Bombyx mori: one gene and its partners. The protein of the gene in region 3 interacts with the protein of the main gene of each other region in a pairwise test. Links are inferred from orthologs where the notes say so. Each region holds a gene or a part of one and is shown on either strand. Other genes may lie near its edges.

Evidence for each region.
Region 1: the proteins of serine/arginine-rich splicing factor 1A (region 3) and ribonucleic acid binding protein S1 interact in a two-hybrid assay, tested with the Homo sapiens proteins (2 studies listed by BioGRID and IntAct, with this or other methods). The link is inferred for Bombyx mori from reciprocal best matches to the Homo sapiens genes SRSF1 and RNPS1.
Region 2: the proteins of serine/arginine-rich splicing factor 1A (region 3) and nuclear RNA export factor 1 interact in binary tests that used the Homo sapiens proteins (3 or more experiments, as listed by UniProt). The link is inferred for Bombyx mori from reciprocal best matches to the Homo sapiens genes SRSF1 and NXF1.

Annotation. Positions count from the first base shown.
Region 1 is NC_085114.1:7,346,411-7,350,673, reverse strand, and holds the start of ribonucleic acid binding protein S1, read right to left. Parts: upstream 2,801-4,263; 5' UTR 2,631-2,800; coding exon 2,629-2,630; intron 2,544-2,628; coding exon 2,433-2,543; intron 2,167-2,432; coding exon 2,032-2,166; intron 788-2,031; coding exon 641-787; intron 547-640; coding exon 305-546; intron 1-304. UniProt on the Homo sapiens protein: Part of pre- and post-splicing multiprotein mRNP complexes. Auxiliary component of the splicing-dependent multiprotein exon junction complex (EJC) deposited at splice junction on mRNAs.
Region 2 is NC_085124.1:4,529,786-4,533,971, forward strand, and holds the start of nuclear RNA export factor 1, read left to right. Parts: upstream 1-1,386; 5' UTR 1,387-1,771; coding exon 1,772-1,829; intron 1,830-2,044; coding exon 2,045-2,638; intron 2,639-2,961; coding exon 2,962-3,152; intron 3,153-3,587; coding exon 3,588-3,697; intron 3,698-4,186.
Region 3 is NC_085122.1:429,901-434,035, forward strand, and holds the start of serine/arginine-rich splicing factor 1A, read right to left. Parts: upstream 2,801-4,135; 5' UTR 2,582-2,800; coding exon 2,403-2,581; intron 1,660-2,402; coding exon 1,296-1,659; intron 402-1,295; coding exon 325-401; intron 1-324. UniProt on the Homo sapiens protein: Plays a role in preventing exon skipping, ensuring the accuracy of splicing and regulating alternative splicing.

The sequences.
Region 1 (4,263 bases), on a different chromosome or scaffold from region 3:
TCTTGGGCCAAGGTCTAGAATCTGGGAGACATTTGTTATCTCCTGCCGCCATGTAGTCCGTTTGCGACCATGCCATGCTAATTTTCGTCACATCTTTACCGGTTTGTGCAAGTCAGACTGAATTTTTTTGGTGACCAATAAAGAATTAAAATCAACAAAAGCTCCATGGTAAAGATTTGAATTTGCAGACATAAAATAGAGAATTTGTTCCAGTGCATCCCCAACACATACTTAATATTAAACTTCCCTACAGGGAGAAAAATATTAAGGGTTAAAGTTAAAAGATAAGTGTTAAGTTGGTTACCCCCGTCCATGTGCTTCATAGCATTTTCTGCTTCATCAGCATTATTAAACTCAACATATGCGTATCCTCTTCCATTATGTGGGTGAAGTCGGTCCATAGGAAACTCAATTGATTTCACAGTACCATATGTCGAAAATATTTCATGGATGTGATCACGCGTTACATTTAAAGTCAGTCGTCCAATGTGGATACGAGTTGGTCGTGGTGGTGGTGAGCGTTCTCGCTTCTTACGTCCTGGAGATCTGAAGAGAAAAAAAGAAATTCTTATTATTATTTTACCAGGGGCCATAATATGGCGTATTAAGGCTATAATTTAAAATAATAACTGTTTTGTACCGTTCCTGTTTTTCCTTAATTTTAGCTTTGTCATTTGATAAAGGTAACACAGATTTTTTTTTTTCTCCTGTTGGTGATCTATCTCTAATCTTCTCCCGATCAGCATCACGACGATCTTTAAGTGGACTCTTGTTTGGTGAAATTGTTCTAAAAATAAAGAAAATGTATGGTCAGGTTAGCAATCTTAACATGCATGATGCCCAAACATAAAAAAAAAACATTTTAAAAGCTTTGATCAATTTCATTGACTTCAAATTATTATTTTATCAAATAGTGTTTCAATTCTGATTGTATTTTTTTCTCTTTTAATTAGTACTGTAATGATCATGAAATAAATTAATAATTTACTTGTGGCTTTCCGTCCCTGCATTATAAAGAAAACTATATATGAGTCAACTATTATCAAAGCCGGCAATGTGACTTTTGGATAATTATTGGTAAATCAGAAAACAAATTATTGACTTTGTATTCCATTGGCAGTCACAAAACTCTTCCGATCGACATCTTAGATAAATAACAGGTTAAGTATTAACCTTTATTTAATGCAGGTTTTGAACCGTATTCTTTGAAGAAGACGATTATATTCAAATCAATCTGTATTGACATATCAATAATTTTTTTTTGTCCAAATGCACAGATTGCCGCCTTTGATAATAGACGACTCATATATCAGGTTATTACATGAATATTATATTTCCTGAATCAGATATCATATTGTAGAAAAAAGAAGACCTATTATGGGCTTAGGAGTAATCACTTTCAGATTTCTACTAAATTATAGAAAATTAAATATTGTTTTAGTTAAATTAAGTACTGTTTAAATACCTACTGTTCAATATTGTTATTGATTGTTTCAATAACAACCTACCAGTGCAATATTTTTCCATTAGATGTGGATAGGATTGTGGCCATCTAGTGTTAATGGAGCCCTTACATATCACAATATTGATGCAGTCATTCACCTCGAAACATGAGATTGAAGAACTATAACTACGCCCTATTCCTTCAGTACAGAATGTATCATAACATATTTAGCTAACATATAAAGCAGATGGCTTTTTCTAAAAACCTGATTTGCTCTACATTTTGATGGTCTACTCAGCATATACTGTAACTTATTAAAGATCTATCTGACCTTCAACCTTATTGCAGGATTGTATGGAGTGCCCCCCATAATATTATCAAAATTTAACAAAATATGAACATCTATAATGAATTGGTGTTCGTTAGTCTCGCTAAAACTCGAGAACAGTTGGACTGATTTGGCTAATTTTGGTTTACGATGTCTGCCGGTTCAGCTAGTACTGAATAAAAACTTCGCTTTGGCTTAAGAAATTGCAGATTGTTTAATAATAATTATATTAATCCTTATCTTATAATTTTAAGCTTACTTTTTCTTAGGCCTTGAACGGCCATTGTTACTGCTGCTACTGCTAGATGAGCTGGATGATGAAGATGAACGTGATGAACTTCCTGAGCTACTGGATGATGACCGAGAGGATGACCTTGAAGAACTACTTGATGAACTGAAAATAGATTTAAATTATATTGGTTGAGAAAGTAACTCCCAGGATAAGGCTTATGTACTTTCATTATTTAGTTTGTACCAATAATCACTTCAGCAAGATATTAACAATTTGCGTGGGTTTTTTGTATCTATTTGGTTTTTCTAGTAGTGTATAGTAAGTTGACTATTTCTTATTATAACTTCCGTTGAAGAAAGAAAGCCCGCTTTTAACATAACCTCCAAAGAATTGTGTTACAAATCTTAATAATACATTAGTTGGGATACCTTCCACTACTATCACTGCTGCTGGAGCCTGAGTCACCTTTCTTTTTCTTGCTTTCTTTGGGTTTCTTCTTCTCTTTCTCAGCTGCAGGCAAAGGCGATTTATTTCTAGCCCTGGTATTGAAATGAAACATGTTAACGGGCCTCTCTAAATGTACAATAGTAGAATTTTTATAGAATAAGTTGAGGAAACACTTACATTTTCAACCTACTATGTTTTTATTTACGTTTCATGAATGTAAAACCTTAGTAAAACAATGTCGTCTTCGAAATCCGATAGCGTCATTTGCCGACCACGATCAGTTCATAGATAATATTAAGTGTATAATCTATGCATAGATATTATCTATGTTAATACAGATCAGTTGTCAATTACAGATTGTGTAGAAATTATTTAGTTTTTAAGGGATTTTATGACCTGGTAACTGAGACCTTTAAGGCATGTCTTATTTTAATTTATATTCATATTTTTATGAAAAATGATATTATGAAGTGAAATGAAATGAAGATGATTAATTTGACATTGACATCAATCAACTGGGATGAAATTAAATGAAATGAAATGAGATGATATGGGATGAAATATAATCTCAGTAAAATGGTGGTCATTTACTAAGACTTTTTCCGTGGACTTTTTGGAGGATCCTGAGAAGTTACGTCCAGCGGCTTTCTTTTATTTTCCCTCATTTATATTATGAGGGAAAATGAAAGATATTAAACAGTTAATAAACCACCATTATTACACATTTAAACCCGAAAAAACATTAAATAGACAAAATAAAATAAATCACACAACTTCACTCCTCGCGTTCCCGCCAAAAAGTCCTGTAGAAATTATATTTTTAGAGATTTTATGACCTGGTAACTGAGACCTTTAAGTCATATCTTATTTTAATGTATATTCTTAATTTTATGAAAAATGATATTATGGAGTGAAATGAAATGAAAATGATTAATTTGAGACATTAATCAACTGGGATGAAATTAAATGAGATGATATGAGATGAAATCTAATCTCAGTAAAATGGTGGTCATTTACTAAGATTTTTTCAATGGACTTTTTGGAGGATCCCGAGAAGTTACGTCCAGCGGCTTTGTTTCATTTTCCCACATTTGTGCACTTTCACAGATATTAAACGGTTAATAAACCACCATTATTACACATTTAAACCCGAAGAAACACTAAATAGACAAAATAAAACAAATCACACAACTTCACTCCTCGCATTCCCGCCAAAAAGTCCGTAGAAATTATAGAAAAATCCATAGAACAGTATGTACTGGTAAAACGGGGTGGTTAGGGACAAATTCCAACTTGATGAACAATTTTAAGGTAGTTGTTGATGTTTAAAATGCTATATCAGGATCAAAATGATTGAGTCTTGGGGGTATCTTTGTTATCCAATTTAAAGCTATGCAATTAGCATTCGAGTTTAAGCTAAGAAAGCAAAAATAGGTGCTATCCCTATTTACCCAGAAATTAGCTAGAGCTTGCACTCCTTGATTTTAATCAATTATTTTATTTAGTTGCAATAACAAAGTGATCATCAATAAAAACATTGAAAAACTGACAAAAGTACACGGCAGATGGCATGAATTTAGGTGCAATCGATAATGCATTGACAAAAAAAAAAAAAAAAAATAACTAAAACTTGATTACATTTAATTACTTATGATTAATTTATATTTGCTTGGGAAATTATCTGTGACAGATTTTTGAAGTTGTAAGACAATTAGAAAAAAAACATCTATTTCATCACTTAAAATTAGTTCAGCACAATCGGACAACTCCGAATGAACATTGACGGAGACCGCGCTGCCCGTGGACATTATT
Region 2 (4,186 bases), on a different chromosome or scaffold from region 3:
GACTTCCACGGTGAAGGAATAACATCGTGTAATAAAAATCAAACCCGCAAAATTATAATTTGCGTAATTACTGGTGGTAGGACCTCTTGTGAGTCCGCGCGGGTAGGTACCACCACCCCGCCTATTTTCCGCCGTGAAGCAGTAATGCGTTTCGGTTCGAAGGGTGGGGTAGCCGTTGTAACTATACTGAGACCTTAGAACTTATATCTCGAGGTGGGTGGCGCATTTACGTTGTAGATGTCTATGGGCTCCAGTAACCACTTAACACCAGGTGGGCTGTGAGCTCGTCCACCCATCTAAGCAATAAAAAAAAAATAAAAAAAAAAAAAACTTAAAAATGGTTCCAAATACTGCACATCCATAAAAAAGTCTTTATCAGAAGAGGAAGATAAGGAAGGCGCAGTATTTTTACCACCTTTCCTCTTTTTGCCCTGCGTACTAAATACATCTCTGTTAGATCTGCCTTCAGCAACAATTCGTCTTATGGTAGTATTTATTTATTTATTTATTTATGTGCGTTCCCCTGACGAGTCATTGTCAGGGACATTTTTTATGCTTATTTGCTTTTTTGATAAATTTTATTTTTCACCATTTGTAATGTTAGGTTCGTATTTCGTTCTTTTATAATTTTCGTTTCTCTGCTTATTACTATAACCTGGAAAAACCAAAATCCGGTCGTCCAAGATTTTCGAGAACACTCGAAAACGTAGACAGTGTTGCCCAGTCTATTCGGGACGATCTGAACCTTTCAATTGAGAAGCGTGCGGTGGCCTTAAACGTGCACAGATCGTCGTGATGCCCTATTTTGCATAAAGATTTAAAACTGCACCCGTACAAATTCAGTTGGTGCAAGAATTAAAACTTCAGGATACTGGTCAGAGGTCAATTTTTTCCTGGCAAATTGATCTCCAGGAGAGGTGACATAAGTTGGCCTCCACGCAGTCCCGATTTGACATCTATGGACTTTTTCCTGTGGGGTTATATCAAATCCAAAGTTTACACCAACAAATCGACTTTCACACACAATTAAAAGAAAATATCTATCACGAAAGCCATCACGGAGAACACCTGCCGAGCCGTCATAGGCAATTTTAGTGCTCGATTAAACGAATGCCCTGAACGCAACGGTTTACATTTCGACGATGTCATTTTTAAAAAATAAATTCCAAAACAGTGTATTTTAATATGTAATAAACATTTTTTCAATAAACTCCTTACTTTTTTTAAAATTATATTTTTAAATATGACATTTCCTTTGAGACCCTTCCTTCGTTTTTTTTATTATTCATAAACTATTTTCAATAATTAAAACAGCGAAACATAAAAATCTTTTACTTGACGCTGGCTAATGCACAAACCGTACGGAGCCAAAAATAAAGACGAAGTGTAATCCATAGGTTATACAGGTGTATAATCTACAAATGTCGCCATCCATTTTGTTTCACATTGAAAAAGAACAGGTTTAAGATTCACAAGAGAGACGCTATTTAGTTTTTGGTGATTAATTTTGGAAATATTTGGATTGCTAATAACGTCCAAATATATAATTTAACTAACCATACTTAAAATTTATTGAGTGTAGGGTAATTTTACACCATCAAAGTTGTTTAACTCTTTTGTAATTTGCGTTGTTAATTAAAAAAAGCTATTATTCAATTATCATTGGCTTTATCTCAGTTAACTATTCTACACGCATGTGAGAAAATAAGGAAACCTTAAAGAACTACTTTCACGGTATTTGTATACTGGTGATTAAAGCTTCTTCGACACGATGCCAAAACGTGGCGGTGGAAGGAATAGAAATTGGAAGGCTGATACTGACCATTTTGGTAAGTGGAACACTTTTATTTATATTCTGTTGTGATTTTGTAGTTCCTACAGTGAATTATCAAAAAATAATGTATTCCATTGTTGTTAGCGCTACTTATGTTTAATACATAAAGGCAAAATCATGCATCATAAAGTTCATGATACCAATGAATAATATATGAGTTTTTAAAGTTATTGACTATTAATACTTGATTTACAAATGATATACTTTCAGAACACGATGACCGTGTCAATAGTGTGCCGAGACATGTCAGTTTTAAACCTGGAGCTAAAGGAAAAAATAAATTTCGAACTTGGAAAAATCCTTTAGCCCTCCTTGATGATGATATTGACATGGGTAGTTCTGCTCTTCAAGGACCGGTCCGGAAAAGTTCTTTCAGGGGACGTGGGAGAATGTACTCTCCAGCTCCGCAAGGAAGCCACGGACACACTAAAAAGAAATTTATTCCTGGTGTACTGCCTTGGTACCAAATAATCATTCCATATGGAGCAAAACATGAAAAAGATGTTATCCTCCGAGCCTTGTTGGGTTTTCTTTCACCCGACATATTCATTCCACATTACTATAAAGTCAATGGAAATGCTGCAGTATTCTATGTTGATGATGTCAAAACAGCTGAAAAACTTTATAATGCTGATAGAAAGATCACTATGTCAGATGGTTTTAAGTTAATTGTTATTGTGAGGAATGCTGTTCCAAACATGGCCATTGACGCTGCCATGAAAGAGAAGATGAAATTGACAATGGCGAAGAGGTATAATGCTACAACTAAGGCATTAGATTTAACAAAATTCCATGCTGATCCAGGTGATTGTCCAATTATATTGTTATTGCTTTACATATTCATTATTTACAATACATTCATTGCAATGTCTAAAATTCAACTTGTTAGTAAACAGCTTAGTAATACATATTATAATTTCTTTTTCATTCAATTAGAGATATAATAAGCTAGACTTTTGGGAATAATTTCTTATGGGCCCACATAAGCTATAATCTATTTAAGAGCGCATACTGGTTTGCCCTTTTATAATGCAGCAATGTAACAACAATATTTATAACCAGTTATTTTATAGAATGTAAAGACAATAGTTTTACTGGGTGAATATTGAAATAATACTATTTTTCAGATCTAGAAGATATATTTTGTGCACTGTTCCGTCCAATGATAATGTTGGCTGCTATAGATATAATAGCAGAGAATATTCCAGACATAGAAGCTTTGAACCTAAATGATAATAAGCTTCATGGTTTGCAGCATCTCAAGGTTTTGTCTTCAAAGCTCAAGAATTTGAAAATATTGTATATGGGCGATAATAGGGTAAGACAAATACATTTACGACAATTTAGACCAGTGTAAAATTTCAAATGACTGATTCATATTCATATCATCATCTTCAGTGCACATTCCTATCTAGGCATAGTTTGAATAGCCCCACAAGCTAACAGTAATTAGGTAGGATACAAAATCCCTATCTACATTTGACAAATAAATTTGTGGTTTTTTTTTTCTTTATTATATACCCCAACTAACAATCTTTGCAATTAATTTGTTTTCACATGCACTATATCTGATTGTTAAGGTAGACATTTTTCTCAATTTTGTGTAGTGTAAGTATTTTTCTACTAACTCATCATTTGCATTACATTAGTAAAATATAAAATAAATGTAGTAAACGAAAGACATCTTTAAAAATATATGAATGCTATTAAAAAACCAATAATGTACATTAATTATCATTTAAACCTTTTCCAGATTCCATTCCTTGGATCACTGGACCCAATCAGATCATTACCGCTAGTTGAGCTATACCTCAAAGGAAACCCACTGGTGAACAGGTTTCATGATCACGAAATCTACATAAGGTAACGCTAATGTTGTAGACAGTATCTTTGGGGTCACACCCCAAGATATTTTGAATATCCTATAACACAGTTTACCATTAGCGTTAAGCCATGGAAACTTGACAGCTATATAAAATCAAACTGTGGCAGTACTGTTGCTGAATTGTGCTTGTTTAAGTAGATGAAATGAGTAAAGATGTTTTTTATCATAAGTTAAATTTGTGATAACATATATTATATTCCTATACTGTTTATAACAAAATCAGTAAAATATCCCTTAATAAAATATACTTATAGTTGACTAATCTTTTTAAAAGACATAATTTTACATAGCAAAAAATTGGCAGGATAATTCCATAAAATTTCTTGGGAAATGTCCCAACAGACAATGAGCCTTCTTATTTCCATATTCCCCTGACTCACATATTTATCAGAGTATTAAAATAATTGATACAAAATAGTAACATTTAAAAATATTTACCTAGGAATAGGTCACTCACAGCATTATAT
Region 3 (4,135 bases):
TCGATATATATAAAAATGAATTGCTGTTTGTTAGTCTCGCTAAAACTCGAGAACGGTTGGACCGATTTGGCTAATTTTGGTCTTGAATTATTTGTGGAAGTCCAGACGTTTAAAAGGTAAAATAAAATTTTGTTTTTCCTTTGATGTGTCCCCCGTTGGACGGATTCCTTTTGTTTGTTTTAAGTTTATTTTATACAATAGTTAGGTCTTTTATTTATCGATTGAGGCACTACGAAGTCTGCCGGGTCAGCTAGTTTAATCAATATATTTGGCCAATTAAATGATATAGTAGTCAGTTAATGTAGTAATGGTATGTAGTGGTACCTGTCACCGCCGCCGCCACCACCGCCACCGCCGCCACCGCCATAGTCTTCCTTCACACGTATATATGTCACCTCACCCTGGAAATGAATATTTAATAGACGTCTAAATCTTGCACTACATGACACTGCTTGCTTTTTAAATTTCTTGAGTTGATTGTAAAACGCTTTTACAGTGTAATATAGCTTTCTTTTCATTCATTTTATAATCTTCATCATCTATGACCATAAGGTCTGTAATATCAAGATTAAGAAAGTATGGTTCAAATTTGATCCATGGTTCAAATTTCTTTTGTAATATCAATATGAAAGCAAACTCAGTTTACTTAAGCTGAGATGATGTTTTGTTGCCTCACATCTCATTTTACATTCCATTTGTTCTTTTCAATCTCATATCAGTTTTTCTCAAACTGAAATTACTTTACCATAATTGACAAGTGAATTGTTTTTTAAAAAAAATATTTAACTGTATGTTGAAAGGACAATCTCATTTTTTATAATTCAGTAAACAAATTGGTAACAAGTATGGGCAGAAAAAAACATTGAAAAAAAAAAAAAAAAAAACTGGTATTGCAAATAATCAGAAAAAGGAGACAGCTTAGTCCAACCTAGCTAAAGAATTCAAAAGTTTGTTTTGCTTACTTTATTTACTTGAGTTTTACAGAATGCAATTTTGGACATTATAGATATCTACTGAGTTTGACACAAAATAACAGTTGTTGATTTTGAGCAGCTATTTGTAAATGAACAGTTTAAGCACTATCCCATGGTTTAATTTCTCCTTCATGAGCCTTAAACTTCTAACTAATTCAAATTAAACTATAAAAGTATTTGACACAATTGATTATCTTGAAACTTTTATGTCCACGTTGGGTAACAATGATAAAAAATTTGGGACAATCCACCAACAGTACTGTTCTTTCACATTACAGGTTATGTTTATAATTATTTTCAAATAAAGTGGAAGAAACTAACCTCATGACTCCTAAATCTAGAATCATCTAACTTTTTAACAGCATACTTCATATCTTCATGCCTCAAAAATTCCACAACACCAGATCCATCTTTAAAGGTGTCTGCAAAGCATACGTCGCCGGCCTCTCGCATATGGTCTTTGAGGTCCTGCCAGGAACCCGAGGGCGGTAAGCCGGTAACGAGCACGCGGTATTCAGAGCGTCGAGCGGGCGGACCACGTGCTGCCCCTCGTCCACCCCAACGGTCACCACCGCCTCGAGAACCACGAGAGCCTCCACCTCCACCTCCACGAGGGAACTCGACTCGAAGACGGTACCCATCATAGTCGTAACCATCCCTGGCTCTTACTGCATCATCTGCATCTCTGAATTCCAAAATAGATTTTATTAAAATAACTTGTCTCAGATTAATTTAGGTAGATATGACTGTATATTCTACTAGGAGTGAAACAAGGCAGGCTCTGAGCTGTGCACCTGGTATTCTTGACGTTCATTAGTGACAGTAACAACTCACCATGAAGTGGACATATCTAATAAAAGAACCAATCACACACAGTTTTGACATCACTCATTGTGTAATTTTAATTTAATATGTTGTGTGTTTATATGTGTGTTATAATTTTATATAATTGGCAATAATCAGCAAATTTTATTGATTTTAATTTTTCTGAAATAATTAGAAATCATAGGTGAATATTATTAGATTTATGGATACAGGTGCTCTGGCAGACTATTAAATCTGTGCCACCCTTCATATATTTTAATATGTGCCAACTTTTAAACTAATTAGTTGTCAATTAATCATAAAATAATAAATGATTAATTGTTAATTTAAAGTCCCATTTTCATTTATCAGTAAAAATGTTTACTTAATCTGTATCTGTATCTGTGGTGTGGAAAATTATATTAACGCTGAATAAAATTGTTCATTTCGCTATAGTCGGGTACAGATAGCGGTGTATGCGGCATAACGTATGCGCTCTTTTAAATCTTCTTCAAAGGCAGCTGAACATTCCGTCCACCTGACACGGGATGATTATCGCTACTCAGACATGGACAACGTTAGTAATATAGATAGCCCGTTTCTCTTTTCGAATTCAACACTCACCTGGGATCCTCAAATTCCACGAACGCGAATGGCGGACCTTTTCTGTTCTTTAGGTCAACGAACGTTACTTTTCCGAACTTGTAAAACAAGTCTTGAATATCCTTTGTCCTTATGTCCGGTGGTAAGTTTCCAACATATATACGACACTCATTTCTGTTGCTACTGCTTCCACCCGACATTATAGCTAAAGAATATTACTATTGCTTAAACGTTTACTTATTATTATGTTGGCTTCATCGACTAATTTCACCAATCCGACGCTTTACTGTGTGTAATTGAAAGTCGGGCAATATGGCGTCAAATGTCAATGTTCCGATTTTGGATCACGGTGGATTTGACAGAAAAGAAAACGATAATCATGAAAACGGAAGTGGAAAAACCTGGTCATAGATTATAAATATGTGGCTGTATAATTTTTACAAAAGTCCGTGTGAAAGGATTTATACAAAGATGTGTATGTAGTCGTCCGGCACATTTTAAAACTAAACACCATAAAATTGAATAATTAATCTGAAATGTAGTTTGCTTTTGGTGATATCAGGATCAGGACACTTATCATTCTTTCCTGCTTGTCCGGAAGTTTCTGTGTCGAAATCAGTACCTATAGCGTGTTTTATAGGTCTTTCTAATTTCGAGCCCGCTGCCCTTCACTTTTGTTAAATGGAAATTAATATATAGGCTGATCAATATTGGCAGTTTCGAGTTATGTTAGTAACATTAAAGTATGGGTTTTCCCATATAAAATCAGGTAGGAACTTACTAGAGAACTTGTACTTGAACTTGTGCTTAAGGTGTCATCTTCTTGAATGGATTAAATAAAATAAAATAAAATAAATAATACAATAAGGCTATGCGTCATGATAATCGCCTTATTGGTGCCACCGTTGATTACTCCTCGAATTCTAATCATGCAGGAGCCAGTCACCGTTGATGCCCTAGACACGTCCTTACGGATCCATCAGATCCAATAACCTTTGCATTAGAAGCCTTCAGCTCTAACACTAGTAGCAGGCTCAGGGACCCCGGTAACCGTACTCATAGAACTCGACAAAGAGTTCGACGTGCAACCTAATCTATGTATCAGCCCGCTGAGTTTCTCGTCGGATCAGCTGTCAAAGCAGCTACTCTTGAGTTGATAAGTCTCCTTCGGAGGCGCTCGGGCAGCTGTTAAGTAATCCCACCCCTCCTGGCTGCGCTTTTGCTCACCTAACTGTCCTGGTGAAATTAGTGTAGGGGAAGCTTAACGACCGAGGGAAGATCTTCCATCGAGCTGGTGATATTGCTCGGTAGACCGACGGTCCGAATGCTGTTGTTCGGAACTTGTATATATGCGCTTTAACTTGAAAATGTCGTAAGCGAGATTCAGACATCTGTCAATTATCTTGCGTTGTATGATGGCTACCCGCCACATCACTCCCCTCCGAGACTGGAGGTCGTGTCATTTTTAGTTAGCGTTGTCCATGCTGAGATTAGCTTGCAAGGGCCAGTGCTGCTCGAAGCCTGCGGTGAGTCGAGGCTGAGCTTGAATTGCTGCGTGATTGTCGCTAGTGCTGCTCGTAGTCTGCGGTGAGTCGAGACTGAGCTTGAATGCTGCGTGATGAGGCAGTGTAGGTGCGTGCCGTAGGAGCAGGAAGCGCGGTGAGTCAGCTGCGATGGTCCTATCGAGGCTGCGATGCTGGCTTGCTGTGGGACTACTGTCGATGACTTGCTTTTATCTGCGAGAATTGTGGTAG